Linked DNA regions of Stegostoma tigrinum. The protein of the gene in region 1 interacts with the protein of each later gene in a pairwise test. Links are inferred from orthologs where the notes say so. Each region holds a gene or a part of one and is shown on either strand. Other genes may lie near its edges.

Region 1 (7,487 bases):
GAGGGGTAAATTTTTTCATGGAGAAGGTGATGCATGTATGGAATGAGCTACCAGAAAATGGCTCAGTGGTTAGCACTGCTGCATCACAGTACCAGAGACGTGAGTTTGATTCTACCCTCAGGTGACTATCTATGGGGAATTTGCATGTTCTCCCAGTGTCTGCATGGGTTTCCTTTTATAGTCCAAAAATGTCCAGGTTGGGGTCGATTGACCTGACCAGGCCAGGCCCGATTGCCCCACACTGTCCAGGGATGTGCAGACTGGGTGAGTTAGCCATGGGAAAGGCAGCGTTATTGAGGTGGATGTGCTGTTACGAGGGTTCAAGGGGTCGAATGGCCTGCTTCCACACTCTATGAAATGTTTACATAATAGAATCCAAAGGCGGCTGGATGGATACATGAATAGGAAGGGTTTAAGAGGGAATATGGACCAAAAACTGTCCCTGTGGACCAGATTAATTTAGGATACCTGGTTGGTGTGAATTGCACCAAAGGGTCTGTCCGTGTACTCTGACTGTAGCGATTTAGAAGTGCACTTGCAATGCCAAGGCTATGAGATAAGTGAGGTGGTTGTTCCTGAGGAGGTATGAACAGGCGTGATGGGCCAATGCCCACACCCCAATTGCTGTAGCTCTTTAGGGTGGAAGATGAGCTGCTGCGCTCCCTATGGTTCCTGGTCAAGTTTTCTTTTCTCTCTGAAGCTCAGCGTGAGAAGAAAAACAAGTGTCGGTTTTTGGTCGAAAACGCCGGCTTGTGTAGCTCCGGGTCACCTTTCTACTTCTTTTTCACGGACGGAATGGACGCACAATGACGTTAATAATCCAGCGAAATAATAAAATAATCCAGCGATTAATCCGCTCAGGCGTCCTCTTCCTTTCGTGGGGAGATAAAGAGATGAAAATTTCCGTCGAAAAGCGGAGAGGCTGGGGTTAATCTGAGGGTTTCTTTAAAAGGACCTTCTTCTCCCCCCCCCCCCCCTCCCCAACGCCTGAGTTTCTGAGCAGACTATTCCCTGGGTGGGAGGGGCGGGGGCGATTCTGGAATGTTCCGGAACCGTCCGAAGGTTCGAGAGAAGGAACGCGCGGGGTCTCCCGGCCTCCGCTGCAGGACGCTGCCAGGCGGCTGTTTCTTCTTCTCGTCTCGTCCTTTAATAGCCGTCCCGCCGATTTGGTGTTTTTTTTTCTTTATATTTTCTCTCGTTATTCTTCTTCACGTCGCCTTTCGTTTTTATTCATCCCTCCCCCCCCCCCCCCAACAGTCTGGGTTTGGTGGGTGCCTCGGACTGTAGAAAATTCCTTGGGTATTTGGAAATCCTGAGGGGGTTTGGGGAGGTGTGTGTTCGAGTCGCCAAGGCGCCGGGGAAAACACAGCCAGGTGAATTGCTATAGCGCCTTTCCCGCGGCCACTTCCCATCGTACTCCCTCTGGACGCACTCCGTAGGCAGGGCATAGATGGCACGGTCCCACAAGGGGAAGCAGAGGCGGGCGATGGGCGGGGAGAGGGGAAGGAATGGGGGGGGGGGTGGGCAGTGAGAGAAAAATGCAGGGGTGGGGGGGGGAAGGAGGAATAGAGGGTGAGAGAGGGGAATGGGGGCGTGAGGGAGGAATAGAGGTTGAGAGAGGGGAATGGGGGCGTGAGGGAGGAATAGAGGGTGAGAGAGGGGAATGGGGGCATGAGGGAGGAATAGAGGGTAAGAGAGGGGAATGGGGGCATGAGGGAGGAATAGAGGGTGAGAGGGGAATGGAGGGTAGGAGGGGAATGGGGGCGTGAGGGAGGAATAGAGGGTGAGAGAGGGGAATGGGGGTGAGGGGAATAGGAGGGTGAGGGAGGAGTAGAGGGTGAGAGAGGGGAATGGGGGGGTGAGGGAGGAATAGAGGGGGTGAAAGGGGAATGGGGGGTGAGAGGGGAATGGGGGGTGAGGGAGGATTAGAGGGTGAGAGAGGGGAATGGGGGGGTGAGGGAGGAGAATGGGGTGGTGAGGGAGGAATAGAGGGTTCGAGAGGGGAATGGGGGTGAGGGAGGAGTTGGGGGTGAGGGAGGAGTGGGGGGTGAGAGGGGAATAGGGGGGGTGAGGGAGGATTAGAGGGTGAGAGAGGGGAATGGGGTAAGAGAGGGGAATGGGGTGAGGGAGGAGTAGAGGGTGAGAGGGGAATGGGGTGGTGAGGGAGGAGTAGAGAGTGAGAGAGGGGAATGGGGGGTGAGGGAAGGATAGAGGGCGAGAGAGGGGAATGGGGGGGTGAGAGGGATGGGGAAATGGGATTTAGGGAGGGGGTGAGGGGGAATGGGGATGGAGGAATAGAGGGTGAGAGGGAAGGGGGAAATGGGGTTTGCAGAGGGGGTAATGGGAGGTGAGGGGGTATGGAGGAGTGTGGGGGTAAGAGAAGGGGAAGGAGGTGGAAGAGAAAGAGGGTTGGACGGGAGAAGAGGAAATGAGAGCGGGAAGGGGAATAGAGGGAGGGGAAAGATGAGTTGGTAAGAGGAGAGAGGGTATAGCAAGGAGGTATAAGATGGATGGAAAGGGGAACAGAATAGGGGTGGCAGGGAGAAGCTAGAGGCAAGGGAGTAGGAGAGGTTGGAAAGAGGAGGCAGGAAGACAAAATGAATTGGGAGTGGAGAGAACCAAGCGGGTGTTAGAGGAAAGAGTGGAATGTGAGGGGAGGGAAAAAACAGATTATGGAGAGAATCTTTGAGAATTAAAGGGGTTTGAGGGAGGAGAAAAAGGGTGCAGAGACAAAATATGTGGGAGGGGTGTAGTATAGAAAATGACGGTGAAGGGGAGAAATTGGACGATGTAGATAAAGGAGGGGGCAGAAAAGGGTGCATGTGCTTGGGTTAGCAAGGAGAAAGATGCAGCAGGGCACTGTGGCTTGAGGTGGAGTAGAGGGGTAAGTGAGGTGGAGAAAATGGAGAGGTGTCTGGGAGATTGAGATGAAAATTTGTTCAGAGAGTGGATGACGTGTTAGAGAGAAGGCTTTGCTCTTCGTTTAGATGGTGTCCTTAATAGAGCTGTCATGTTCTTTCCAAGAGGGCACTCAGGTCCACAGTTCAATGCCTTAGCTGAATGGTGGCAACTCCGAGAGTGGCACTTCCTGACCTAATGCTAAATTCTGTCCTGGTTTTATTTACAGATTTGGCAATTAGAATTGAGCGTGAGACATCTAGTTCGATGGGTTTCGGGAGGGTGTTTGTGATCAAAAGTCATAGAATTCCTACAGTGTGGAAGAAGGCCATTTGGCCCATCGAATCACACTGACCCCCCCAAACAGCATACTATCCATACTGACCCTTCATCCCTGTGACCCTGCATTTCCCATGGCTAATACACGTAAGCTACATATCCCTGGACACTATTGGGCAATTTACCGTGGCCAATCCACCTAACCTACCCATCTTTGGACTGTGGGACGAAACCAGAGGCACCCAGAAGAAAAAAAGTCACAGAGAATAAGAAAATTCCACACAGTCACCGAAGGTTGGAATTGAAACCGCATCCCTGGCACTGTGAGGCCTCTGTACTAGCCCAGAATCCATAATTCAAGTTTCTCAAATGTCACCGTGAGCTCAAATTTTGGGGTCATACCCTCAGGCAGCAAAAGTTCCATGCACCCACCCCTTGCTGTTCCAAGTCTCTCTCCTGTCTCCTCCCTACTACACTCTGCTCTCACACATCCAATATAATAGGATTGTTATTTAGAGTTGAGGATGTAACTGATACTTCATAAATTTAGTCTATCTTTCTTGCTTCATTCAAAAACTAGGCTGTGGTCCAAAGTTGCACAAACGTTTTTCAGAATGAATGCTAGAATCTGCTGAATATTTCGATTAAGATTCACAGGAGAATCTAGTTTTCTATTTCAAGAAACAGGATGTTATTTATTCAGAAGCAATCCAGTTTTCTGGAATGTTCTCTGCAGACGTTATGGAGTGAGTCCCTTTCCTCCTCTGATAATAAAATGTGAGGCTGGATGAACACAGCAGGCCAAGCAGCATCTCAGGAGCACAAAAGCTGACGTTTCGGGCCTAGACCCTTCATCAGCTCTCTGATGAAGGGTCTAGGCCCGAAACGTCAGCTTTTGTGCTCCTGAGATGCTGCTTGGCCTGCTGTGTTCATCCAGCCTCACATTTTATTATCTTGGAATCTCCAGCATCTGCAGTTCCCATTATCTCTGATACCCTTTCCTCCCCTGTTGTTTCTATCTTTCCTCTTACCCACTCCCTTTCTTTCTCATGATGTGGAGGTCCCATTGTCTTCCCGGAGTGGACAAGATCAGAAATCACACAACACGGGGTTATAGTCCAAGCCGTTTATCTGAAAATTTGCTTTTTCAAGTAAACCTGTCGGACTACATCCTGAGTCATGTGATTTCTGACCTTTTTCAGTCTCACTGTTTCCTTTCCCCTTTATCCCTGTTCTTTCTCTTGTCTACCTTCTTAACCTTCCCTCTGTCCCTTTTCTGTCTCCCTCTTCTTCCTCTAACACCCTTCCTCTTTACCTCTGTCCCCTCTCTCCATAAGACATAGGAGCAGAAGTAGGTATTCAATGAGATAATAATTGATCTTCAACCACTCCCACTGTTCTCTTTTCTTCACCTTCACCCTTTGTCGTCTCTACTTTTCTCTCTTTCACCTCTTTCTTTCGCTCTCCCTCTGTCCTCGCTTTCAACTTCGACCTCTCTCTGTCCTGTCTCCTCTTTACTCGTATCTTTTTATCTCCCTTTATTCTCGCTCCCTTTCATGGTCCTTTTCTTTACCTCTCTTTATGTACCCTTAGCTCCTTCCCTCTGTCAGACTGATTGCCAACTTTCTGCAGACGTGGCAGCAATGTACTGAATGAATGATTGCCCTCTCACTTTCCCCTAAACTTTTATTTGGGAAAGTTCTTTTAGGGGCGGGGCAGAGGTGGGGACAGGGATGTTACCACCAACTTACCAACTTTGATTGGAGAGGGTGAGCTGTCAATCAAGGGCACAGCGTGAGCCCGGATTGGTCCAACAATCGCTTTCAATGTAGCGAGCCAGTTGCGACAACCGCAGACGCGACGGGAAGCGGCGACGGAATAGGGACCGAGGGGGATCCGAAGGATGGGTCTGCTGCTGGGAGTACTCTGTATCCTGCTGGGATCCGTCTGGGTTTCAGCTTCCAGCCCCAAGCCCGTCTCCACAGGTAAGAAAAAAAAGCAGTTGGCGGTGGGGGAGGGCTTGAAATCATGACATTGCCAGCGAGGTCAGGAGGCAGACGCAAAATTCTTGACAATCCCAATTAGAAAGTAACTCGGAAAATCCTGACATTCCCAACTAGACAGAGACTCGGAAAATTCTGACCTTCCCAGTGAGAGGAGGAGTTGGAAAATTCTGAATTTCCTGGTGTGTGTGTGTTGCGGGAGGTGGGAATCGGAAAATCCTGATATTCTCAGTGAGAAAGAGAATCCTAACATTTCCACTTAGAAGCATGGAAAATTCTGACGTTTCCACTAAGAGCGAAACTTTAAAAATCTGAACACTGCCAGTGAGAGAGGGAATCGGAAAATCCTGATATTCTACTTGAGAGAAAATCTTGACATTCCCCGTGAGAGAGAGATTCGCAGAATCCTGACATTCTCAGGACAAGATGCAGATGGAAAACCTGACATTCCCAATGAGCGAGATTCTCGGCGAAACTTGATATTCTGAGCGAGAGAGAGTTGGAAAATCCTGTCATTCTCAGTGAGGGAGACTCGATAAATTCTGACGTTCCCAGAACGACGGAGACTCAAAATACTGATGTTTTCTGAGGTTGGGATGCAGACGGAAAACGTGACAGTCACAGTGAGTGAAAGATTTGGAAAATCTTGATATTCTCAGCGAGTGAGAAAATCTTTACATTCTAAGTGAGAGAGAGAGAGAGTCCTGACATCTCCAATGAGAGAGATGCACTAAAATCCTGACGTTCCCAGAGAAAGAGATAAATCTTGGCATTTTGATTGTGAGGACAAAGCCTGACATTCCCAGAGAAGCAAAAAATCTTAACATTTCCAGTTGGATAGAGAGAGAAAATTCTGATATTCCCACTGAGAAGGAGAGTCCTGACATTCTGAGAGAGATTGGCCTCCAGAAGACAAAGGATCAAAAGTTGTCCAGCCCATAAAATACACTGTGCAATGCAATGAGATCTGATAATACTCAACTCCATTTTCCTGCCTTTTCACCATAACTCTTACTGACTAAAAAAATCTGTTGATCTCAGTCATGAATATGTTTAATGACTCAGCCTCAATAGCCGTCTGTGATAAAGAATTGCACGGATTCACTACCCTCTGAAAGAAGAAATTCTTCTCCATCTCTGTCTTAAGTGTATGACTCTTTATTTTGAGATTATGCCCTCTGGTCCTAGAATCTCTCATAAGGGGAAATAACCTTTCTGCATCTACCTTGTCAAGTTCTGTAAGGACCTTTATGTTTCAATAACATCTCCTGTCAATCTTCTAAATTCCAATGAGTACATGCTTGACTGATTCAACCACTCCTTGTAAGACAGTTTCTTCATACCATATCTTTCCTTTAGATAAGGGGCCCAAAACTGTTTGCGATATTCCAGTTGTGGCCTGACGATTGTCTTGTGTAACTTTAGCAAAGTTTCCCTACTTTGATTCTCCATTCTTTTGAAATAAAGGCCATCTATAATTCCGTTTACCTTCCATTCTGATCATTTAAAATGATTGGTCCTTAAGGGGATTGGTATCATTGCAGGATAGTCAAAAATTCAGGTCCCCACTCTGGACGCTGGGGTACAAAAAATGTCCAAGTTGACATTGGAATATGCTAGTATAGGATTCTGAAGGGGCTCTATAGGCTGAATATTGAGAGGATGTTGACTCGTAGGGGTATCTAGAACTAGGAGGTATAGTTACAAAATAAGGGGTCTCTGGTTTAAGATGGAGATGAGGAGGAAACTCTTCCCTGAGGGTCCTTTGGTAAGTAGAGTTAAGGCCCCAAATGGTTCAGTCATAATCTTGTTGAATGATGAAACAGGCTAGAAGGACTGAATGGCCTACTCCTGCTTCTATTTCTTACGATTTTATGACCTCATTTTGGAGTGCCAGAGCTGAGGGAATGTTATTGCCCTACTGGAGCTGCCGTCTTTTGGGTGAGACAATTAAACAAGGTCCTTGTCTGGCATCGTGTGTAGATCTATAAGCTCTTTTTATTTATTCGCTTGTGGGATGTGAACATTACTGGCTGGCCAGCATTTATTGCCTGTTCCTAGTTGCCCTTGAAGAGGTGGTGGGATGCTGCCTTCTTGAACTACTATAGTCCATGTGCTGTAGATTGACTCACAATGCCCTTTGGAAGAGAATGCCAAGTTTTGACCCAGCGTCAGCGAAGAGACGGCAATATATTTCCAAGTCAAGATTGTGAATGGTTTGGAGGGGAACTTACAGGCACGGGTGTTCCATGTACCTGCTGCCCTTGTCCTTCTAGACGGAAATGATTGTGGTTTGGGAAAGTGCTG
Region 2 (7,799 bases), on another chromosome or scaffold:
GCTCAGGAAAGGGAAGGATGAAAAGGGGAACAGGTGATGGTACCAACTGAGAAATGCATTGCAAATCTGGAGATAAAGGGTATTCCAGAGAATAAAAGACCACTTGATTTGGCTACAAGATAACAAAGTGTGGGGCTGGATGAACACAGCAGGCCAAGCAGCATCTTACGAGCAACTCTAAGGAACAGAAAAGGTGCAATTCCACTGCTCAGTGTAGCCCATCGGCAACTAGCCAGTGGGAAGACTGCAGGAGGAATGGGAATTTGCAAGGAATTTACAAAGCTAAGCAAGAATCATAGAGTTGTCACAATGTGGGGATTTCAGATCTATAGAATATGGCTGTGTAAAGGGCAGAACAGGGCAAATGTTAAAGGTATAAAGGACTTCACCTCAAGGTGGTGCCAGAGGACCGCAGCACTGCAAATGTTAGATTCTTGTTCAAAACAAGAGTGTGAAGATTACACCAGCCAGTTTAACTTTGGCGCTGACGAAGCTTCTGGGGAAAAAAGAATTCAGGACAACATTAATAGCCACTTGGGCAAATGCAAATATAATTAAGGAATGCCAGCACAGATTGGAAGTACATGGAATAGTGTAGGTTAGATGAGCTTCAGATCGGTATGACAGGTCGGCACAACATCGAGGGCCAAAGGGCCTGAACTGTGCTGTAATGTTCTATGTTCTATTTGTTAAGGGAATATGCTGTTTTACTAACTTCCTGGAGTTGTTTGATGAGGTAGCAGCAAGGATTGATGAAGGTAATGCTATATGTATGGTGTACATGGACATACAATAGTTTGGCATAGTGCCACACAACAGGCTTGTGAACAAAGTCATGGTTGATGGAATAAATAAAGATGCTGTTATCATGGATTTCAAATTGTCTGAGTGACAAGTTACAAAAAGTACTGGTTAATGAATGCTTTTGGGTTGGAAGAAGTGGAGCTGCCCGGGTTCAGTGCTGGTAGCCTTGCTCTTGAAGATATATATTAGCTACCTAGCCTTTGATGCACAGGGTACAAGAACAAAATTTGCATGTCACACAAAACTTGGAAGCATTTTGAACTGTGAGGAGGATACTGTAGAAATTTAAAAGAATGCAAACAAATTGGTGGTATGGACAGACAAGTGGCAGATTAATTTCAGTGCGGACATCCCTGAGGTAATTGAGTTTGGTAGGAAGCACACAGATAGACAGTATAAAGTAAAGAGCATTTGGGAGCAGAGAAAATTTGATGTATATGCGAATAAGACATTGGAACTGGCAAGAGCGCAGTTGAGAAAGCATACAGTATCCTAGGCCTTATTAATTGGAACATGGACTTAAGATTAGGTTGTGTTAGACTTGAAAAAGATAGTGTTTCAGCTGCCACTAGAGTACTGAGTCTAGCTCTTGGAAATACAAGAAGACATTGAAGTGCAGAAAAGATTCAAGAGAATGGGTCCAAGTATGAGGAACCTCAGTTACGTAGATCGACTGGAGAAGGTGCAACTGCTTTTCTTGCAGAAGAGAGAGGAGATTTGATGGCAGTATTCAAATCTTGAGAAATTTGGGCAACATAGAAAAAAGATTATTCCCATTGCTGATTGAGAGCATGAAGGTCCAGAATGAAAGAAATTGAAAAAATAAACAACAGAGATACATATTTTCATTCAGAAGTGGTGTAGGTCACATGAATGTGCTGCCTGAGAATGCATGGGGGCACTTTCAATCAAGGCATTCAACAGAGAGTTGGGTTGAAAAAGGAAGTGAGTGCAGGGGTATGACAAGTGGCTCTAAATGCATGTGTTAAGACTATAGAAATAGGAACAGGAATAGGCATTTGGTCCAACGAGCCTGCTCCAATATTCAATAGGATCATGGCTGATCTGACATTCCTCATGTCAGCTTTTCTGTGTTTTTCCTGTAACCATTGATTACCCGTACTGATCAAGAATCTATCTAAGCCATAAATACATATAAAGACTCTACTCCGTAGCTGTCTGTAGCAAGGAGTTATAAAGACAATTCTTCATAGTTTTAAACTGATGCTGTTTTGTTCTGAGACTATGTCTGCTATGCTAGGCTCTCCCGTGATGGGAAACATCCTCTGAGCATTTATCCTGTCAGTGTCCCTTCATCATCTTATATGTTCCAATGAGATCCCCTCTCATTTTAAACTCCTGTGAGTAGGGTCTCAACCTGTTAAGCCTGTGCTCGGACGACAATGCCTCCATATCAGAGATCATCTTTCTAAACTGTCTCTGTGTCCTCTCTGCCTAAACTGAAATAATACCTATGCTTAAATAAGGGAACAAAATATTCTCAGTATATTAGATGCGTTCTCACCAGTACCTTGTTACAGTTATAATAAGATGTCTCTACTCTTATACTCCAAAACCCATGAAATAAATCCCATCCCTGCTTCCACAACACACAAAAACTGAATAAAAACCAGAAGAACTGCAGATACATCAGGAACAAAAACAAAAGTTGCTGGAAGCTCAGCAGGTCTGGCAGCATCTGTGAAGAAAAAAATCAGAGTTATTGTTTTGGGTCCAGTGACCCTTCCTCAGATGTGTCTTCTGTTTTTGTTGCTGACACAAAAATCTGAAATAGCTAGAAAAGCTCAGCAAGTCTGGCAGCTTCTGCTCTTGACAATTCTGAAGGGTCACTGAACCTGAAATGTTAACTCTGCTTCCTCTCCACAGATGCTATTAGCCCTGCTGAGCTTTTCCTATATTTCTTTTTTTTTCTGATTTCCAGCATCTGCAGTTTTCCAACATTCCATCAGCCTTCCTGATTACCTGCTGCACCGTGTGCCAGCTTTCTGTTTTTCATTTGGACGGTTGTTTTGTGCACGCACACAACAGGTCAAAATGGGCAACTTCTGTAGATGGTAACCATTCTGTGATATAACCAAGTCATGGACTGAGTACAACAAATGCTGGAGGTCTGTAAATGGCCTAGTCTGAAGATGAGATGTTGTTCCCCCTGGTTTGTGCTGTGATTCACTGGAGCACCGCAGCATGCCAAAGACAGACAACTGGGCATGCAAGCAGTCTGTTGTGTTAAAATGACTGGCCACGTACAGACTGGAGTCGATCTGCAAAGCTGTGACCCAGTTTATGTTTACATTGGAGAAACCAAACGCAGACTGAGTGACTGCTTTGCAGAACACCTCCAGTCTCATTATCAGACTAGCCTTATGGACTTAATATTAAGTTCAGCACCTTCAAATTGTGAACAAACTGCTACTCCTAACCTTTCCTTTAGCTTTACTTGTTACATTCTCTGTCACCATGTGCTGTCTCCTCTCTCACCACCTCAGAGGGACAGAGACAACAAGATGTAGAGTTGGATGAACACAGGCCAAGCAGCATCAGAGGAACAGGAAGTCTGACATTTACAGCCTAAACCCTTCTTCAGAAAAACCTTGCCTGCTCTTCTAAATCTGGCAGTTGGACACATCATCGTTCTACAGTTCTCGCATTCTGGTCTCTTAATCTGAACTATCAACGTCTTTTCTCTCTCACGACTCTGCACCTACCTTCGCAACAATAGCATAAATGCTGTCCCTTCCACACTTCACTAGATCTGATGAAGAGCTATCTCGACTTGAAACATTAGTTTGCTCTCTCTCTCTCTCCATGGATGCTGCTTGACCCGCTGCGATCTCCAACATTTGTTGTTGTTGTCAGTACAGATTCCAGCATCAAGAGCAACTCACTCCTACGGGAACTGCAGATGCTGGAGAATCCAAGATAACAAAGTGTGAAGCTGGATGAACACGGCAGGCCAAGCAGCATCTAGGAGCACAAAAGCGGACGTTTCGAGCCTAGACCCTTCACCACAGAAGGCGAGCCCGAAACGTCCGCTTTTGTGCTCCTAGATGCTGCTTCGCCTGCCGTGTTCATCCAGCTTCACACTTTATTACCGACGTGGACTGAGCTCTTTCCACTCCCTCTTGAAAGCAGCACTGGCCCTTTAAATGATGGCAACGCCCCTTCATCCGGCTAGGCCACGCCCCGCGCAGGTTAGGTCCCGCCCCCCTCCACTGCGCAATGACGTCACGGGCCGGGAGCCATGGCTTCCCTGGATGCTGAGGTGAGACAGCCGCTGAGGGAAGGGAATTCCTCTTTCCGATTAAAAAATTGTTATGACTCTTCACTTACATCGGGGGCGCTTAGACTTCTCTTCACCCACCCCGCTCAAATCCCATCCTGGCTTACATCTAAAACCGAGGCTTTTTCGTTTTCCCCTCCCTCGCTCATTGCTGCTCCGTCGGCTCCGAGTCCACGGCGGCCATGGGTCTCGGGCGCTTTGTGAGGCGGAGAGGGGGAAGGAACCAAGTGATTGACAGCCGGGCCCAGGGAACCTGAACAACGCATCGACTCCCCTTGCGTTGGACTGATTGGATGCGTTATGCGCGATTCCGGGCGGAGGTTAGCGGGCGACTGTTCTCTTCACCCTGTATCCTGTGTAGCGCATTGGCTCCCTATTGTTGGCTCGTGGCGGAACGTATTACACAGGGTTAGGGTTGGGCTACGATGATTGACTGTAGAACCCTTTATCCTGTGTGATGTATCCATTCCATTCTCTTGGAGTGTTTGGACATGCGCTATACGAGGTTTGGGGTGGAGAAATATTTGGAACCCTGTAATCTGTGTGATGTAGTGACCTCCCTTTGTTGGTGGCGTAGGAGATATGCGTTATGCAGGCTTCGGCTTGGCCTCGATGTACTGTGTAATTGACTGCCGATCCCCATATCTTGCAGAGTGTATAAACTGCCTCTGATAACGTTGCGGGTTGTCCGTTATCCTAGGTCTGGGGTACGAATCTGGCCGACTGTACAGTTAAGGCATGCTGCCTTGTTGCTGTGCAATTTTTTTTTCTCGGCAGTGTATTTTGATTAACTTGCAAGCCTGCGATTCTGTCCAGTTATTTTCTCTTTAGCTCAATAAAACTCTCTCTTTTATGTCGTTAACAGCACATTCTCGTTTTTTGTTAGCGATTTTAAAATGCTTGAAAACTTACCACATTGACTCGTTCGACTGTACTGCGCACCTCCTTCTGATTCTCTTTACCAATCTTGATGATCGTTTAGGTGAAATGCTGCAATATAAACCGCCTGTCAAAGACATATTAGGTTAAATGCAAGACTGTCCGAGGTAGTTAGCTTGTTAAGTGGACACATGGCCTATTTCTGAGTGGCGGGAGGGAAGTCGGTCAGATTTACCGCTGTTGAGCAGCGAAGGTGTAAGATTTGGTGTCAGAGGAGGACTGAACAGAAGGGTATCTCGGCTATAATGCATTCCCATGTCAAACAGACTGCTTTTATTACTCAAGGCATCGAATACAAGAGCGAAGAGGGTATGATGGAACTATTTATAATGTTAGTTAGACTACAGCTTTTTTCAGTTCTGTTTTGCCACGCCAAAGGAAGTATGTTACTGCATCTAGAGAGGGTGCAGAATGTTGTTTGGGCTGATGTGATTCCACTATGAAGAGATAAGCTGATGTTTTCTTAAAGCAGAGAAAGCTGAAATTGAATTTGATTTGATTTACACAAAGTTGCAGGAGGCAAGATAGATAGGGAGAAAATGCTTCCCCTCTGAAGGATCAAAAGCCAAGGGGCAAAGTTTTAAAGTAGAAGCAGAACGTTTAAACGTCATTTAAGGAAAGCCTTCTTTACTCACAGGATTGTGGATGTCTGGAACACACTGCTTAAAACAATGCTAGAAGCGAGATGTGTTAAGACTTTTGAGAAGTACTTAGATGAAGATAAATATTTTAACACACCATAATGTACAAGGCTGCAGGCAAGATGCTTGAAAATGGGATTAGAGTAGATGGATGTTTGACTGGCACCATAGGCTGAAGACCTTTTTCCCATGCTGTAAAACTTTACAATTCTATATCCAGCCAGACGTTGTTGGTTAAGCGAAGCCAAATCTCCCAGTAGCCCTACAATGTTGACTGAATCAAAACTGCTCATCATTTCAAAGACTTCTGTTAGGTCATCCTACAGCATTTCCTTTCCTGATATGTATACCCACACATTTCTGTTTCTATCTTTAGTAATCTTCTCTGTCACTTCTCCAGTGCCTGATATATTTTTTTCATTATATGGTACCAGAACTCCATACAATACTCTTAAATGTGGTGTAATCAGGTTCAATACTTGTTTAGCATAACTTATCTTTTTAGTTCAAAACTAGGGTCCACACATATAAGACAGTTAGTAATACATCCAGGAGTCACGCGACACCAGGTTGTGGTCCAACAGGTTTATTTAAAATCCCAAGCTTTCAGAGTACAGCTCCTTCATCAAGAAACTGTTGGACTGTAACCTGAAGTTGTGTGACTTCTAATTTTGTCCACCCCAGCCTAATGACTAATAAATTCAGTCGTGAATTCAGGAAGAACTTTTTTTGCCCAGAATGTGGAACTTTGTACCCAGACAGCAATTGACACAATTGACATAGTTTTTTCTTAAAAGGGAACTGGATGACCATAAGAAGAAGAAAGAAAAAGAAGGGTGCAGTGATAAGGTGGGATGAAGAGGGTTGTGTGGAGCTTTAGCTAGATGGACTGATCTGCCCGTTTCTTTACAATCCCAGAATTGAGTAATCAATTGAAGGCAACACTTTTTATTTGTCAGAGAAAAGAGTGGTCCAGCAGCTGCTGTTCCTTGGCTTGTGTTGTAAACTTTTCAGTGTCTAGTGGTGTAGGATAGGTTTTTTTGCTCAAAACAGAGAAGACACTGTTTCTCTTTGGTGTGTTGGGTCACTTCCCTATCTGTACTGTTCCCCTCCTTGTGCCTCCAGCTCAGCCCCCTGTGACACTATTCCAACAGAAAGCAGGGATATATGGAATGCAAAAGGAGGGAGTGATTTTGAAATAAAAAGCAGAGCCTGAGAGAAAGAGGTTTAGCATTCTTCTGGAGTGCAATCTCCTCAACCTCATGAGACCCTTCCTGTCTTGCTGTGAGGAGTTGGGGTGGGTGGATTTGTTGGAGATGTTGAGGTAGGATCATCAAATTGATACATTTCCCCTGGAACATTGTGAGTTATTTTGCTTTCCTTTCACAGGTGGTGGCTAACAGCCCAGTTGAAGCTACAGCAGAACCAGAACTCCTGGTGCTTGACACGAGCCCTAGCTGTGAACTAGTCCAAGGTAAGATTACAGATTCAAGACAGCAGTTGTTCTGTCAGCAAAGGACACAGCAACACAGAGTAGAGTGTAGAGAGAGAGAAGACATGGCGATCTGGTTCTGGAAGTCTCCATGGGGCTAGGGTCGCTGACCATTACAGTGGTAGGGAGAGACTCCATCCTGTGTGGTGTCTTGGGATCTTTTGTCACTTTCCTAGTTGGGTCAAAAGACAGAGTTGTAGCGGATGGAATTTAATGTGGGAAAATGGAAAGTCAGTGAGATTGGATGGAAGCGTGGTGAGTCTGTATGAAGTGGCAACCTACCCAATGTCAAATAACAGGACAGAGAGCTAGGATTATATCATGCTGTTGAAATGATTTCGGTAGACTGTAGCTGAGCCTTTTCAGATAATGAATCAAACCCAGATCCCTGGTGCTGTGTGACAGCAGTGGTTACACCTCAGCCACCGTGCTGCTCATGTATTCAGTGTTGGGGAAGTACAGCAGTGCAAGAGATAAGGCTGATACATTTGCATTTACCTTCAGCCAGAAGTTCGAACTGGCTGCTTCATCTGAGCCTGATCCCATTATAATTGCTGCGTCATTGGTGATTGTGTCTTTTAGCTGCTCAGGCCTGAGCTCCAGAACTACCCTCCTAAAACTT
Region 3 (7,538 bases), on another chromosome or scaffold:
AATAATTGGGGACCCGGCACAATAATGTAAAAGATGTAGCTGAAGTATTTTCATCCACCATGAGCCAAATGTGCTGAGTGAATGATTCATCTCAGCCACCTATTATGATCTCCAGCATTACAAATGCCAGTTTTCAGCTAATTTAAGTTATTTCACATGATATCAAGAAATGGCTAAAGGCATTGGATACTGAAAAGATTATGGGCCATGTCCACATTCCAGCAACAGTACATAAGACTTACAACAGTAACATCTACTCTACTCAGTGATCTACTCTAAATCATCAAACTGGTGGAAAGAGTCATTGGTAGTGTTGTCAAGTGGTATTTGATCAGCAAAATTCATACATTCAGGGCCACTCAGATCTTGACCTTATTTGGGCCAAGACTATAACTTGAACAACCCAACTGAATGCCAGAGATGAGGTGACAATGAATGGCTTTGAACCATGGTAACATTTGACAAGAATATAGCATCAAGGAGCCCTAGCAAAGCTGAACTGAATGGGAATCAGGGGAAAGCCTCTCCAATAGTTGAGTCATACCTGGCACAAAGGAAGATAAAGTCAGAAGTCACATGACACCAGGTAATAGTCCAACAGGTTTCAGGATTATCACCTGTCATGTGACTTCTGACTTTGTCCACCCAGTCCAACACGAGCACCTCCACATCATGGTGACCAAGAGTGTTACACAATGTGAGCAAAGTGTCAACAACTGAATAACAATTGAAGCTATGACCTATAATCTGATTACTCATTTAGCCTGTCTCCAGCATCACCTTTTTTTTTGTTTCTTGTAATTATTTCTCTGCCTCACTTAATCAGATTATAGGTCCTTCACTTGTTATTCGGCTGTTGATACTTTACTCACAGCTGCAGCGACCTAATATTCCTTACTCCACTCACACCAGTTGCATGGACTTTTGATCTCTCTACCTGTAAATTCTGTGTCTGTGTGTTCTTCTTGCTCACTTGACCTGATGAAAGTGCTGTGCTCTGGAAGCTTGTGATCTCAAATGAACCTGTTGGACTATAACCTGGTGCTGTGTGACATCTGACTTTGTCCAGCCTAGTCCAACACCAGCACCTACCAACAAAGGAAGATGGTTGTAGTCTCTGGAGTTCAATCTTCGTCCCAGAGCAGGCTCCTCATGGGAGCATCCTAGGCCCAATTTTCTTTATATGTTTCATCAACGACTTTCTCTCCAACATATGGTCAAAGTGAGGATATTTATCGATGATAGCAAAATATTCTGCACCATTCACAACTCCTCACACATGCAGTGCAAGTCCGTATGCAGCTAGACCTGGGCAACATCCATGCTTGGAGTGCTAAGCAGCAAGTAACATTTACTCCTACCTCTCTGATGAAGGGTCTAGGCCCGAAATGTCAGCTTTTGTGCTCCTGAGATGCTGCTTGGCCTGCTGCGTTCATCCAGCTTCACACTTTGTTATCAGTAACATTTACTGCACACCATTGTCATTGCTTGACAATCTCTTTTAAAAAAGAATGTAACCATGATCCCTTGACATTCAATGGCATTACCATTGAAACATCCCCACTATCAACTGGTTGTTAGCATTGCTCAGAAGCAGGGACATAAATACTGTGGTTTCAAGAGCAGGACGAGACCGAGGAATTCTATAGTGAATAACTGATCTCGTCTCCCCAAAGTGGTCAAGATGCTCAACATCTCCAGGACAAAACAGGCCACTTGATTGTCATCTCATTCGTCATTCTTCAACACTGAAGCATAGTGACAGCGGCACAGCATGTACCATCGACAAGACGTACAGCAGCAACTCACTCAAACTCCTTCATCAATGCCTTTCTAAACTTTGGCTCTATTGCACTGAAGGACAATGGCAGATGATGTGTGGGAACAGGCCACCTGCAAGTTACTCGCCAAGCCACTCATCATTCTAGGAGATAATGGGAACTGCAGATGCTGGAGAATTCCAAGATAATAAAAGGTGAGGCTGGATGAACACAGCAGGTCGAGCAGCATCTCAGGAGCACAAAAGCTGACGTTTCAGGCCTAGACCCTTCATCAGAGAGGGGGATGGGGTGAGGGTTCTGGAATAAATAGGGAGAGAGGGGGAGGCGGACCGAAGATGGAGAGTAAAGAAGATAGGTGGAGAGAGTATAGGTGGGGAGGTAGGGAGGGGATAGGTCAGTCCAGGGAAGATGGACAGGTCAAGGAGGTGGGATGAGGTTAGTAGGTAGATGGGGGTGCGGCTTGGGGTGGGAGGAAGGGATGGGTGAGGGGAAGAACAGGTTAGGGAGGCAGAGACAGGTTGGACTGGTTTTGGGATGCAGTGGGTGGAGGGGAAGAGCTGGGCTGGTTGTGTGGTGCAGTGGGGGGAGGGGACGAACTGGGCTGGTTTAGGGATGCAGTGGGGGAAGGGGAGATTTTGAAACTGGTGAAGTCCACATTGATACCATTAGGCCGCAGGGTTCCCAGGCGGAATATGAGTTGCTGTTCCTGCAGCCTTCGGGTGGCATCATTGTGGCACTGCAGGAGGCCCATGATGGACATGTCATCTAAAGAATGGGAGGGGGAGTGGAAATGGTTTGCGACTGGGAGGTGCAGTTGTTTGTTGCGAACTGAGGGGAGGTGTTCTGCAAAGCAGTTTCCAAGCCTCCGCTTGGTTTCCCCAATGTCGAGGAAGCCACACTGGGTACAGTGGATGCAGTATACCACATTGGCAGATGTGCAGGTGAACCTCTGCTTAATGTGGAATGTCATCTTGGGGCCTGGGATAGGGGTGAGGGAGGAGGTGTGGGGGCAAGTGTAGCATTTCCTGTGGTTGCAGGGGAAGGTGCCGGGTGTGGTGGGGTTGGAGGGCAGTGTGGAGCGAACAAGGGAGTCACGGAGAGAGGGGTCTCTCCGGAAAGCAGACGGGGGGGAGATGGAAAAATGTCTTGGGTGGTGGGGTCGGATTGTTGCTATTCCTTCAATATCATTGGACCAAAATCTCAAGTGATAACGGGAACTGCAGAATCCAAGATAATAAAGTGTGAAGCTGGATGAACACAGCAGGCCAAGCAGCATCTCAGGAGCACATCCTCTGATGAAGGGTCTAGGCCCAAAATGTCAGCTTTTGTGCTCCTGAGATGCTGCTTGGCCTGCTGTGTTCATCCAGCTTCACATTTTATTATCTTGGACCAAAATCTCAAAACTGCCTTCTTGACAACAACAGGTTAAGACAGCATCTCATCACCACCTGCTGAAGAACAATTAGAGATTGGCAATAAATGCTGGTCTAGCCAGCGAAGCCAACAGCATTTTACTGAGCACTTAGCAATCACACAATAAAAAGTGTCCCTTTAAATTGCAGTGGCCTGCATGTAAGACATCTCGAACCAAACATAATTAGTTTGCAAGCAAACTGAACCAGTCAAAACTAAACTGTGACCATACATTCTTTGCCCAGCCAGTCACTACTTAACTGCTCAGACATTGCATCCCTCTCCACCCATGATATCAGGTGCTATTGCCTAAAATTAACTTTTTCAGATATTGATTTCACTTGCATCATTTAGCCCACCAAATCACGTAGTTAACAAAGAAGGCAGCTGAATCACAACACCAATATTCTGTAGAGATTAGAAATTTGAGCTCTTGTAGCACTGCAGCGGTGTTCCTACTCCCAAATGTTATGTGTCGTAACACCTCTGAACAGGTTGATTTGAAAATACCTAGCAATTAGATGCTTTGGTCTCAGTTGCACTGAACAGGCATTACGTTCACACAGAATTCTCACATGCGGAAGCAAGCCATTCAACGTAGCGAGTTCACACCGGCCCGCCCTATATTCAATAACAATTAATTAGAGTTCAGTCACCCTTGCTCCAAACCCACCATTCAACTATCCATCCCAAACTTTTAAACCCCGGAATTATGTCTTTTTTTTCCCTCCTCTTCGATTCCCTTGTCTCGCATTTCTGCTTTTTCTATGCCCTTTCCTTCGTTATTCTTGCTCTCTCCTCTCCCCATTGATGTTGCCGGATATATTCTGCCTGACCTACAAAATGTTCCTAGCACTTGTTTTGGTTTTAACTCAGCACTCATAACATTTTGCTCATTTCCCTGCTCAGCGAGCAACAACACGAACAGACGCACACGCAAGCTGACAGGGGAACGGAGGAGACCGCCGGTACCGCGCAGCCGCACGCATGCTAGGTAGGCTGGGGAGGAGGGAAGATGCCGGTAGCGCGCAGACGCATACGGAGGGGAATGAGGGTTGGTTATGGGGCTGTGTGCTGGAAGAGAGAAGCCGGTACCGCGCAGTCGTACAGGAAAGGTGTGGGTGAGGGAAAGTCTCTCGGACCGCGCAGTCGTACAGGAAAGGTGTGGGTGAGGGAAAGTCTCTCGGACCGCGCAGCCGTGGAGAAAGGTGGGGATAGGATGAAGAAGAAACAGTTGCTATTGCGCAGCTGCAGCAGGCAGACGGAGGGGATGGTGAAATGAGCGAGAAGAAACAGTCGCTGTTGCGCAGCCGTGGTGGCTTGGTGCAAGTGTTCAAGCAGAGAGGTAAACGGTGAAAACAGGTGGAGGAAAGTTGAGCTGGGTTGGGTCGAAAGATACGGCGTCTGAGGTGAACGGAGGAGGAGGGAAGGTGGAAAATAAAAACCCATCGAGTCACCGACAGTGGACTTTTTCTTGTCGGTTTGAGGTGAAAGCTTATTGTTTGGCAGGCGTCAGGTGAGAAAATAGTTGTGACGTTAAATGAAACCTTATGTTTCTACCTGAGGAGTCCTGGGCAGTATCTGCCGGGACCCTGTAAATACAACTCTCTCTCCTTCCTCCTGCATCCAGGACGCTCCGCAAGACCAACGGTTTTAACGGCTCGACATTTCATTATTTTCCACTTGAGTTCATGAAAGGGGAAGTGGCGGGTTCTGATTTTTTTTTGTGTGAATGGACCGAGTTGCCGGCCGCCGGCAGTTGGACCTTGTTGATTCACCCCTTTAAGGAGAAGGAAGGCTTTACCTCCGAGCCCTCCCGGCCTAGTTACAGCGGTGAAACCCGCACTGCTGCATGTCTCTGCGGATGGAGACTCGTCTATAATCGTGCATCAGGTTGAACGATCGTTTTGTTTTTAAATGTATAAAATCCAGACACTTCTTCTCCGGGGCTGTTCTCTGCACCCACAATTTGATGATATTAGACACTGATGAGATAAGATAATGCAGTTAATCCTGCAACGGGTTTGCAGTTAAACGCGAAAGAGAATTCTGGGGTTTTCCGAATCTTATCATACATTGAGTTACTTGAGTGATTTAAACATCGTTTTCTTTATTGTATATATTTTATAATTAAAGCGAATTCCGCTTACTTCTCTGTAAAAACATTAACCAACTGCGGTAATTTTATAGGCAGTCACCATTCTCATGTTAGCGCGAAATGAGTATAGCATGAACAGTATGTAGTTATTTTGTGCAGCTGACAAGACACGTTGGACTTTAGGTTTCTGGTTCATCTACAACATGTTCGTTGCCGAATTGTTCGGATGATCAGATCGAAAATTGCAGTCCTGCGTTCGCTCCCATACAGTGCAGTTGTAGTTCATTACGTGTCCTTGTATGCCCCGAGGAATCCCTGGTGGCGAGTTTTATAACATTATTTTGCTGACAAGCCATCAGGCTTCCTGAAGCTACTCAGTATTGTATGCTATCGTCATCATCCTTTATCACAATAATCCTGTTTATTGCCATTTTTTAACTCGTGATGGATGTGTTAGAATAAGTATGTAATCGGATTTTCATCTGACGATAATGAAAAGAAAGCTTAAGTGATGTATGTGAACACTGAATATTGTAAAGCCTTTTGTCTTTGTATGCAATAGGTATGTCTATACATAAAATTGTGGAAATAATATATGCTACTATGTATCAGATTAGTGTAGAAATTATCTAGCAGGTTTGGAAAATGGTATTTTGGCTTATTCCAGTGGTGCCAATAGCAGTGATGAGATTATCGCAATTTCAAAGTCAGCTGTTTTACATTTAAAACTGAGTAGAGGAGTCATTTAATCTGCGGGTCGTTTTGCTGTCTTGGGGGGGGGGGGAAAGATTCTTAAAACAGGGTTTTCATCTTTTCAATGCTGAGTTAGATGAACGTTTGACTTGTTAGGAGACTGTAAAATTCTGGGGGCAGGCAGAAAATTGGAGTTGAAGCCCTGATTCGATCAACTGTGATCTTGCGTTCCATTCAATTCAAACCATAGCATTAAAATTGTGCTGCCTGGTTCTAGAAAACATTTTCAGGATCTGCCCCATAAAGCGCAAAAATGTTTTAGTTGGGTATACTCTTACTCTTAATACCAATTGGTATATCTCGCTAAATATTTTCTCTCCGCAACTCCATTGTGCCATGAAGCAGCATAGTAAATTTTTCTGAGCTGACTTCAATGCAAGTACAAAACTAAGACCAAAACTGTACAGGATAATCCAAGAGTCTTGCTAATGTACAGTTATAGTAAGATTTCCTTATGTTTACACTGCAGTCTCCGTTCTTAGTAATAAAGGTAAATGTTCCATTGCCTTCCTACTGGGAAATGTACAAAGCTACTACCTTTCAAGCTGTAAGATATATATTACTGACATGGAAATTTAAATATTGTTCTTCTTTGTAGTTGTTCAAAAATATTTTTATAATGTCATTGTTCAAAATTGTCTTCATCCTATGTTGGAACAGCTGGTGTGAGACATGTTTAAAATATTACCAAGTCTGTCACTGTTTTACAAACATGTCTGAAAAGGGGCAGCTATAACTTTGAGGAAAAATACAACTTCTCCCTTTTGGATGATTTTAATCGATTGTCTTTTGAATTATATTGGCAGTGTATCTTATTCTACTAACTACTTTTTGGTTAGTAACTTGATTACTACAACAGAGAGAGAGAGAGAGAGAGACCAAGCCATGGACTCAACCCTTTGGTATCAGTGTATTATCAGCGGGCTTGTTTTACCGTTAGACTTAACTATGACAGTGTTCTCCTGATTAATCTCCCATCTTTAACTTTTTATGTCTAAAACATAAGCTTGCCTGAAATTTTGCACCTGGTCTTGTATTTCAATTTCAACATTCTTGTCTGTTTTCAGAGTTTTCTATTTGTCTCTCCTCTTCCTTTGTTCCTTTCCTTTACTGTCATGTCTCTGAATTACTCTAGTTTTGTCTTTTTGACATCTTTGATTGCTGTACTATTGACTTCCTTAGTCCAATGCTCTGGTATATAGTCCCTGTGCACTCCGTTCTTCTGTCCCTTCATCTTTAAAGCATTCCTTTTAAAACTGATATCCTTGACCAAACATCTCTTCATCTGCTCTCTATTAGCTCCTTGTGGCTCCATGTCAAATTGTTTCATAAAGCTAATTTGCAGCTGTGCTTTTTGAGGTTTGAGCATTAAATATGCTTATTAAGTGTAGTTGTTTTGATAAAACTGAAACCAGAAAGAGAGAGAATCTAAATTACATCTTGCTGCTGATAATGGAATTGCAGTTGTATATTGTCATTATCTTCACCCAGTC
Region 4 (8,322 bases), on another chromosome or scaffold:
AATATTTCTTCATAAATGTTGCTTAGTGCCGCATTCAAAACTTGCCACCTTTGTCCTGTCTTCACTTCTTTGTTGTTTAAACATTTCAACCATAGCTTTTATAACACACTATCTCCATTAAATTACAATCCTGTCCAGTCTCCCATCCTGCAGAAACTTGGGCTCAATCAAAACTCTGTTATCAGTATCTTATCCCACGATAAGATTTGTTCTGGCTCACAAATCACCCTGTCCTTGATAACACACATTGAATCTTTCACCAGTGTCTAATATAAAATTCTCATCTTCATTTTTAAATAACGTCAACAACTTTCTCCAGTTCTATAACTAGCGATACATGTTCATTCATCCAATAACTCTGCATTCTAGCAGCTGTATCCAAATGATGTCTCTTCTGTATTAGCAGGTAAACACTACAATAAGCAACGAGCTGCAAAATGGTAGAAAACTGAAACAAATTATTGGCGAAACTCACTTCTGATGCAGTCACTTACTCTGGGAAGTATTGGACTGATTAAGAAGTGCGAGGGTCGAAACATTAACTCTGCTTTTTTTCCCCTCCCCAACAGATGCTGCCTGACCTGCTGAGTTTCACCACCATTTTTTTTTAAAGCAGATACACAGTACACCCAGGTTTGTATACTTCCACCTTCCTTTTAAATCCTCATTAACTGCCACTCTTCGAGCTCTTCTGTTCTCTTCCCTTGCTGAGAATTCTTGGGACAATTTCAGGTTAGAGGCGCTATGCAAATAGTTGCTCCAAACTTTTTATTAGTTTTAATCTCAGCTATCGATGGGAGGTAGGAGCAATGTATTATTTGCTTCAGCAGCAAGTCAGGTAAAAACGGAATCTGGAGGCATGAGCAAGAGCCGGATAATTTGGAAGAGGATGCAGCGACTGCCAATTAATACGGATGGAGACTATAACAAAATATGAACCATCAAGACCCAAGGAATGAGTGATAATGGGAACTGCAGATGCTGGAGAATCCAAAATATTGAAATGTGAGGCTGGATGAACACAACAGGCCCAGCAGCATCTCAGGAGCACAAATGCTGATGTTTCGGGCCTAGACCCTTCATCAGAGAGGGGGATGGGGTGAGGGTTCTGGAATAAATAGGGAGAGAGGGGGAGGCGGACCGAAGTTGGAGAGAAAAGAAGATAGGTGGAGAGGAGAGTATAGATGGGGAGGTAGGGAGGGGACAGGTCAGTCCAGGGAAGACGGACAGGTCAAGGAGGTGGGATGAGGTTAGTAGGTAGGAGATGGAGGTGCGGCTTGGGGTGGGAGGAAGGGATGGGTGAGAGGAAGAACAGGTGAGGGAGGCAGAGACAAGTTGGACTGGTTTTGGGATGCAGTGGGTGGAGGGGAAGAGCTGGGCTGGTTGTGTGGTGCAGTGGGGGGAGGGGACGAACTGGGCTGGTTTTGGGATGCAGTGGGGGAAGGGGAGATTTTGAAGCTGGTGAAGTCCACATTGATACCATTGGGCTGCAGGGTTCCCAAGCAGAATATGAGTTGCTGTTCCTGCAACCTTCGGGTGGCATCATTGTGGCAGTGCAGGAGGCCCATGATGGACATGTCATCTAAAGAATGGGAGGGGGAGTGGAAATGGTTTGCGACTGGGAGGTGCAGTTGTTTATTGCAAACCGAGCGGAGGTGTTCTGCAAAGCGGTCCCCAAGCCTCCGCTTGGTTTCCCCAATGTAGAGGAAGCCACACTGGGTACAGTGGATGCAGTATACCACATTGGCAGATGTGCAGGTGAATCTCTGCTTAATGTGGAAAGTCATCTTGGGGCCTGGGATAGGGGTGAGGGAGGAGGTGTGGGGGCAAGTGTAGCATTTCCTACGTTGCAGGGGAAGGTGCCGGGTGTGGTGGGGTTGGAGGGCAGTGTGGAGCGAACAAGGGAGTCACGGAGAGAGTGGTCTCTCCAGAAAGCAGACAGGGGTGGGGATGGAAAAATGTCTTGGGTGATGGGGTCGTGATTGTAGATGGCGGAAGTGTCGGAGGATGATGCGTTGTATCCGGAGGTTGGTGGGGTGGTGTGTGAGAACGAGGGGGATCCTCTTTGGGCGGTTGTGGTGGGGGCAGGGTGTGAGGGATGTGTTGCGGGAAATGCGGGAGACGCGGTCAAGGGCGTTCTCGACCACTGTGGGTGGAAAGTTGCGGTCCTTGAAGAACTTGGACATCTGGGATATGCGGGAGTGGACTTCCTACAGACTAAGGGGGTGGCCATGGGCCCCAGCTATGCCTGCCTCTTTGTAGGTTACGTGGAACAGTCCCTCTTCCGCACCTACACAGGCCCCAAACCCCACCTCTTCCTCTGTTACATTGATGACTTTATCGGCGCCGCCTCTTGCTCCCCAGAGGAGCTCGAACAGTTCATCCACTTCACCAACACCTTCCACCCCAACCTTCAGTTCACCTGGGCCATCTCCAGCACATCCCTCACCTTCCTGGACCTCTCAGTCTCCATCTCAGGCAACCAGCTTGTAACTGATGTCCATTTCAAGCCCACCGACTCCCACAGCTACCTAGAATACACCTCCTCCCACCCACCCTCCTGCAAAAATTCCATCCCCTATTCCCAATTCCTCCGCCGCCACCACATCTGCTCCCACGATGAGGCATTCCACTCCCGCACATCCCAGATGTCCAAGTTCTTCAAGGACTGCAACTTTCCACCCACAGTGGTCGAGAATGCCCTTGATCGCGTCTCCCGCATTTCCCGCAACACATCCCTCACACCCCGCCCCCACCACAACCGCCCAAAGAGGATCCCCCTTGTTCTCACACACCACCCCACCAACCTCCGGATACAACGCATCATCCTCCAACACTTCTGCCATCTACAATCTGACCCCACCACCCAAGACATTTTTCCATCCCCACCCCTGCCTGCTTTCTGGAGAGACCACTCTCTCCGCGACTCCCTTGTTCGCTCCACACTGCCCTCCAACCCCACCACACCCGGCACCTTCCCCTGCAACCGCAGGAAATGCTACACTTGTCCCCACAACTCCTCCCTCACCCCTATCCCAGGCCCCAAGATGACTTTCCACATTAAGCAGAGGTTCACCTGTACATCTGACAATGTGGTATAACTGTATCCATTGTACCCAGTGTGGCTTCCTCTACATTGGGGAAACCAAGTGGAGGCTTGGGGACCGCTTTGCAGAACACCTCCGCTCGGTTTGCAATAAACAACTGCACCTCCCAGTCGCAAACCATTTCCACTCCCCCTCCCATTCTTTAGATGACATGTTCATCATGGGCCTCCTGCAGTGCCACAATGATGCCACCCGAAGGTTGCAGGAACAGCAACTCATATTCCGCTTGGGAACCCTGCAGCCCAATGGTATCAATGTGGACTTCACCAGCTTCAAAATCTCCCCTTCCCCCACTGCATCCCAAAACCAGCCCAGTTTGTCCCCTGATAATAAAATGTGAGGCTGGATGAACACAGCAGGCCAAGCAGCATCTCAGGAGCACAAAAGCTGACGTTTCGGGCCTAGACCCTTCATCAGAGAGGGGGATGGGGAGAGGGAACTGGAATAAATAGGGAGAGAGGGGGAGGCGGACCGAAGATGGAGAGTAAAGAAGATAGGTGGAAAGAGTATAGGTGGGGAGGTAGGGAGCGGATAGGTCAGTCCAGGGAAGACGGACAGGTCAAGGAGGTGGGATGAGGTTAGTAGGTAGATGGGGGTGCGGCTTGGGGTGGGAGGAAGGGATGGGTGAGAGAAAGAACCAGTTAGGGAGGCAGAGACAGGTTGGACTGGTTTTGGGATGCAGTGGGTGGGGGGGAAGAGCTGGGCTGGTTGTGTGGTGCAGTGGGGGGAGGGGACGAACTGGGCTGGTTTGGGGATGCAGTAGGGGAAGGGGAGATTTTGAAACTGGCGAAGTCCACATTGATACAATTAGGCTGCAGGGCTCCCAGGCGGAATATGAGTTCTATTCCTGCAATCTTCGGGTGGCATCATTGTGGCAGTGCAGGAGGCCCATGATGGACATGTCATCTAGAGAATGGGAGGGAGAGGGAACCATTTCCACTCCCCCTCCCATTCTCTAGATGACATGTCCATCATGGGCCTCCTGCAGTGCCACAATGATGCCACCCGAAGGTTGCAGGAACAGCAAATCATATTCCGCCTGGGAACCCTGCAGCCATATGGTATCAATGTGGACTTCACCAGTTTCAAAATCTCCCCTTCCCCTACTGCATCCCCAAACCAGCCCAGTTCATCCCCTCCCCCCACTGCACCACACAACCAGCCCAGCTCTTCCCCCCCACCCACTGCACCACACAACCAGCCCAGCTCTTCCCCCCCACCCACTGCATCCCAAAACCAATCCAACCTGTCTCTGCCTCCCTAACCTGTTCTTCCTCTCACCCATCCCTTCCTCCCACCACAAGCCGCACCCCCAGCTACCTACTAACCTCATCCCACCTCCTTGACCTGTCCGTCTTCCCTGGATTGACCTATCCTCTCCCTACCTCCCCACCTATACTCTCCTCTCCACCTATCTTCTTTTCTCTCCATCTTCGGTCCGCCTCCCCCTCTCTCCCTATTTATTCCAGAACCCTCTCCCCATCCCCCTCTCTGATGAAGGGTCTAGGCCCGAAACGTCAGTTTTTGCGCTCCTGAGATGCTGCTTGGCCTGCTGTGTTCATCCAGCCTCACATTTCGTTATCTAAGACCCAAGGAATGACGGCCGCTGACCTTCTCAAGATGGCGAACTATTTCTTGTCGTGTTTGTCGAATGCATCACACATTCGAATTTAGGAAAAACAACAACGGATTGAATGGAAGTCGGTGCAAGCAAAAATGTGAAACTGGGACAGAAGGGTTCACCGCGCAAGAATCTGCCAAAAAAAGTTTTTTTTTGTTGAAGCCCTTCTTTTAATGGCGGAATGTACGGCCCAGCATAGCGACGTCACTGTCACCGAGGCAACGGAGACTCAAACATAGAGAAGAGCCTGGAGCAGAGGAAACATGACTTTACCACTCTTACCTGGGAACACATTCAACAAGAATGTGAGTAACTTCTCTGCAAGTAATAAAAATCGACACATTTAAGAAACTGTTTTCTCTTTCAAAATTGACTTCAACACCAACCTTTGAGGAAACCCCGGGGAGTAAATGTTTGCTTGTTTGTAACTCATTTTTTAAACAAAAATTTCCATACTGTTAACATTCAACATTGTTATTCCTACTTTCTGTGCACGAGTAGTAAATACTTCCTGCAGGGTTTTGGCTAGTTGGCACAACACTGTATGAGATTGTCAGGGTGGTCACAGTTGCGTCTTAATGTTTAGAGGGAACCACTGCACTGACAATGATTGAAAATACCACTAATAAAAGGCCTGGAATATTCTCAGGGCTGGTGGTGCACTGGTTTCTTTGTTTGGAGATGATCACACCAAACTATCCAGCTGCCTACAGAAGAGATGAGTAGAGTGAACACTGGGTTGGATAGGTGTTCTGTTTGATATATGAAAACTGTCATTCAAAAGATGTCATCCATTGGAATTCCCACTTCCAATGGGTTCATGTCTGCACTTCTTGCAGTTTTATAACATTGAGTGATTGTTGAAAGATGCTTCCATCATTTTACAGGAAATTCCCCAAGTGACCACCAACAACAAAGCCCGCTCCAGCAATTCCTCCTTTTGGCCTCAAGTGCTAAACTTAGAGTGCTGTTAAATTGGCCTCTTGCACCCAAGACAGTCCTCCCTTCCTCCTTCTGTCTCATGCCTTGTACAGCCTTCACTCTGCTGACCTTACTAACTTCAATCTTTAATCTCTGTTAAAGATCTGCTTTTCTTTCAGCCCAAAAACATGGAGACTGAAAGTCTTGTCACAGTTAGCCCTGTTGCTTCAGCCTTTATTTTCAGGTATGAACATCTTGCACCTTGCTGTCAGTAAGTCTTAACATGTGCAATCCTGTCCCTGTGGAAACCACGTAGGCTTGTTGTCAAACAGAATACAAAACAGATCACATTACCAATTTACCTTAAACTATGGAGATGGTTTAAAACAATATTCTAAAATCTTGGAGATAGTAAGAACTGCCGATGTTGAATTCAGAGATAATCGTGTGGATCTGGAGGAGCACAGCAGACCAGGCAATGTCAGAGGAGCAGGAAAGTTGACGTTTTGGATCAGGACCTTTCTTCTAAAATCTTGCATTTGTACCAAAGCCACCATCTGAGTTGGAACTGTATGACTAATCCTTCACTGTCAGGAATTCTAAATCTTGTAACTCCCTTCCTAACAGTACTGTGAGTGCAGACAAGATGGATTCAGCAATTTAAAATGTGGCTCACCAGCACCTTCACGAAAGCAATCCAGGATGAGCAACAAATGCTGGCCTTGCTGGCTCACACCCTATAAACAAATCTATTTTTGAAGAAAGGGGCAAGCTCACCTTTATAAAGCAGGTTTACTTATGGATTTGAAAATGTGACTTGTGATACTAGGTGCACTTTTATCCTAAAAAAAATTGAGTAAACATAACTTTCTAAAACAACAGAAAAAGTGCAATTTTTTGAAGTTCTTTCTTCAGCCTAAATGACCTATTTATATTTTCTTTGGGTGTCTCAATGCCCAAGGATCACCAATTTATGTTAATAATTGTGTTTCTGATTGTCAGGGCAGAGTTTCAGACGGAAGCCGTTTCATACTGCCTTTATGCAAGTGTCCAAAACCCTCTAATTATTTGAGTTCATCAACGTTAAAATTTTACTAGGTGATTTTTTTTATTATAGAAGGAAAAAAGGTAGAGGTGTAAAATGTGATACTATGATAATTTTGTGTATCACTATCAAATCTATATGAAACAGATTTGAAGATGATTTTGCATTTAAATTGCTGAACTGCATTTTAGTTTGTATTTGAGCATTCTCTTTGAAGGTTTGTACTTATTCTATCTTTAGAAGGAGTTGCTTTAATATTCTGTTTGGTCGATTCAAAGTGTTGTATTAACAGCAGGTGGTAGAATTAACTACTATGAAATTGAGCACATTTTTAAAAGACTTACAAGTGACTACAAAACTATTCTGCTACTGCTGCTGTTACAGAACTGAAGACCCGAAACCATTGCTTCTGTTTCTAATATTTCTCCCACCACCCCCCTTTTATTTTTCTCTTTACTTCTTCTAGATTCTTTAATGTTATCATGCCTTCATTCATTTCTTCTCTTAGGCAATCTATCTTCCCCAATCGCTGCCCAAGTCATCAGGAATCTTCCATCTATTGTCCCATGCATGCTCCATATCTAATAAACCTACAGCTTCCCTCCATGCCCCTCTTGTCATATCTGATGGGTCTATCAAGGCACATTTCTAGGTAGTTAGAAAAATTTTCGATTTGAGTTAAAAAGGAGGTCATGTGGATGAAGTCACATCAAAGATACCCTCCATTCTGTTGTTAGGCACTAACACTTAAATAGGATGGACTTGAACAGATCAAGCAGCTCTGTAATGTGAGTAGAATTGTAATTAACCGCAATCTGTAATTTCATTGCCTGGCAAAGTTCTACTCTACCACAACGATCATACCTAAAAATAAGGTTTCAGCCTGGTGAAGTGACAACACAGGTACAGCTACAACATTGGCATCTACCCAGCAATGTGGAGCATTGCCCAGTTATATCCTGTGCAAAAAAAGCAGGAAAATCCAATCCCGCCAATACTGCCCTAGCAGTCTACTCTCCATCATTAGTAAAATGGTGAAATCAGTGACCGTACTATCAAGTGGCACTTGCTTGACAATTACCTGCTATTGATGTTCAGTTTGAGTTCTGCCAGGTCCATTTGGCTCCTGACCTCATTACAGCCTTGGTCTAAACATGGATCGAAGAACTGATCTCCTTAGGTGAAGTGAGTGACTGCCTTGATGTCAAGGCAGGATTTGACCAAGTATGGCACCCAGGAACCCCAATAAAGCTGCAGTCAGAGGAAAAACTGTTACACTTGGCACAAAGGAAAATGGTTGTGGTTGTTGGAGATTAGTCACCTGAGTTCAAGGACATTTCCACAGAAGTTCCTCAGGATAGTATCCTAAGTCTAAGCGCCTATGCCATTTTATTAATAACATTCCATGAAAAGGTCAGAATTGGGGATATTTGCTGATGAGTGTACAATGTTCAACATGATTTGGGACACCACAGATACTGAAATAGTCCATGTCCAAATGCAGCAAGACCTGCACAAGTGAAAAGTAACATTTGTACCGCACAATGTTGTGCAATGACCGTCTCCAATGTTGGAGAATCTAACTATCAATTCCTGATGTTCATTCATTCAATGACATTACCATTGCT

What was found.
Region 2: the proteins of multifunctional procollagen lysine hydroxylase and glycosyltransferase LH3-like (region 1) and ehmt2 interact in binary tests that used the Homo sapiens proteins (3 or more experiments, as listed by UniProt). The two-hybrid records come from large-scale screens. The link is inferred for Stegostoma tigrinum from reciprocal best matches to the Homo sapiens genes PLOD3 and EHMT2.
Region 3: the proteins of multifunctional procollagen lysine hydroxylase and glycosyltransferase LH3-like (region 1) and rab3ip interact in binary tests that used the Homo sapiens proteins (3 or more experiments, as listed by UniProt). The link is inferred for Stegostoma tigrinum from reciprocal best matches to the Homo sapiens genes PLOD3 and RAB3IP.
Region 4: the proteins of multifunctional procollagen lysine hydroxylase and glycosyltransferase LH3-like (region 1) and efhc2 interact in binary tests that used the Homo sapiens proteins (3 or more experiments, as listed by UniProt). The link is inferred for Stegostoma tigrinum from reciprocal best matches to the Homo sapiens genes PLOD3 and EFHC2.

Annotation. Positions count from the first base shown.
Region 1 is NC_081398.1:8,547,700-8,555,186, forward strand, and holds the start of multifunctional procollagen lysine hydroxylase and glycosyltransferase LH3-like, read left to right. Parts: upstream 1-4,142; 5' UTR 4,143-5,080; coding exon 5,081-5,162; intron 5,163-7,487. UniProt on the Homo sapiens protein: Multifunctional enzyme that catalyzes a series of essential post-translational modifications on Lys residues in procollagen. Plays a redundant role in catalyzing the formation of hydroxylysine residues in -Xaa-Lys-Gly- sequences in collagens.
Region 2 is NC_081387.1:20,687,255-20,695,053, reverse strand, and holds the start of ehmt2 (histone-lysine N-methyltransferase EHMT2), read left to right. Parts: upstream 1-4,368; 5' UTR 4,369-4,398; coding exon 4,399-4,425; intron 4,426-7,074; coding exon 7,075-7,159; intron 7,160-7,799. UniProt on the Homo sapiens protein: Histone methyltransferase that specifically mono- and dimethylates 'Lys-9' of histone H3 (H3K9me1 and H3K9me2, respectively) in euchromatin.
Region 3 is NC_081371.1:45,501,148-45,508,685, reverse strand, and holds the start of rab3ip (rab-3A-interacting protein), read left to right. Parts: upstream 1-4,308; 5' UTR 4,309-4,539; exon of another isoform or gene 4,540-4,710; intron 4,711-4,969; exon of another isoform or gene 4,970-5,087; intron 5,088-7,538. UniProt on the Homo sapiens protein: Guanine nucleotide exchange factor (GEF) which may activate RAB8A and RAB8B. Promotes the exchange of GDP to GTP, converting inactive GDP-bound Rab proteins into their active GTP-bound form.
Region 4 is NC_081365.1:42,802,914-42,811,235, forward strand, and holds the start of efhc2 (EF-hand domain-containing family member C2), read left to right. Parts: upstream 1-4,916; 5' UTR 4,917-4,991; coding exon 4,992-5,033; intron 5,034-8,322. UniProt on the Homo sapiens protein: Microtubule inner protein (MIP) part of the dynein-decorated doublet microtubules (DMTs) in cilia axoneme, which is required for motile cilia beating.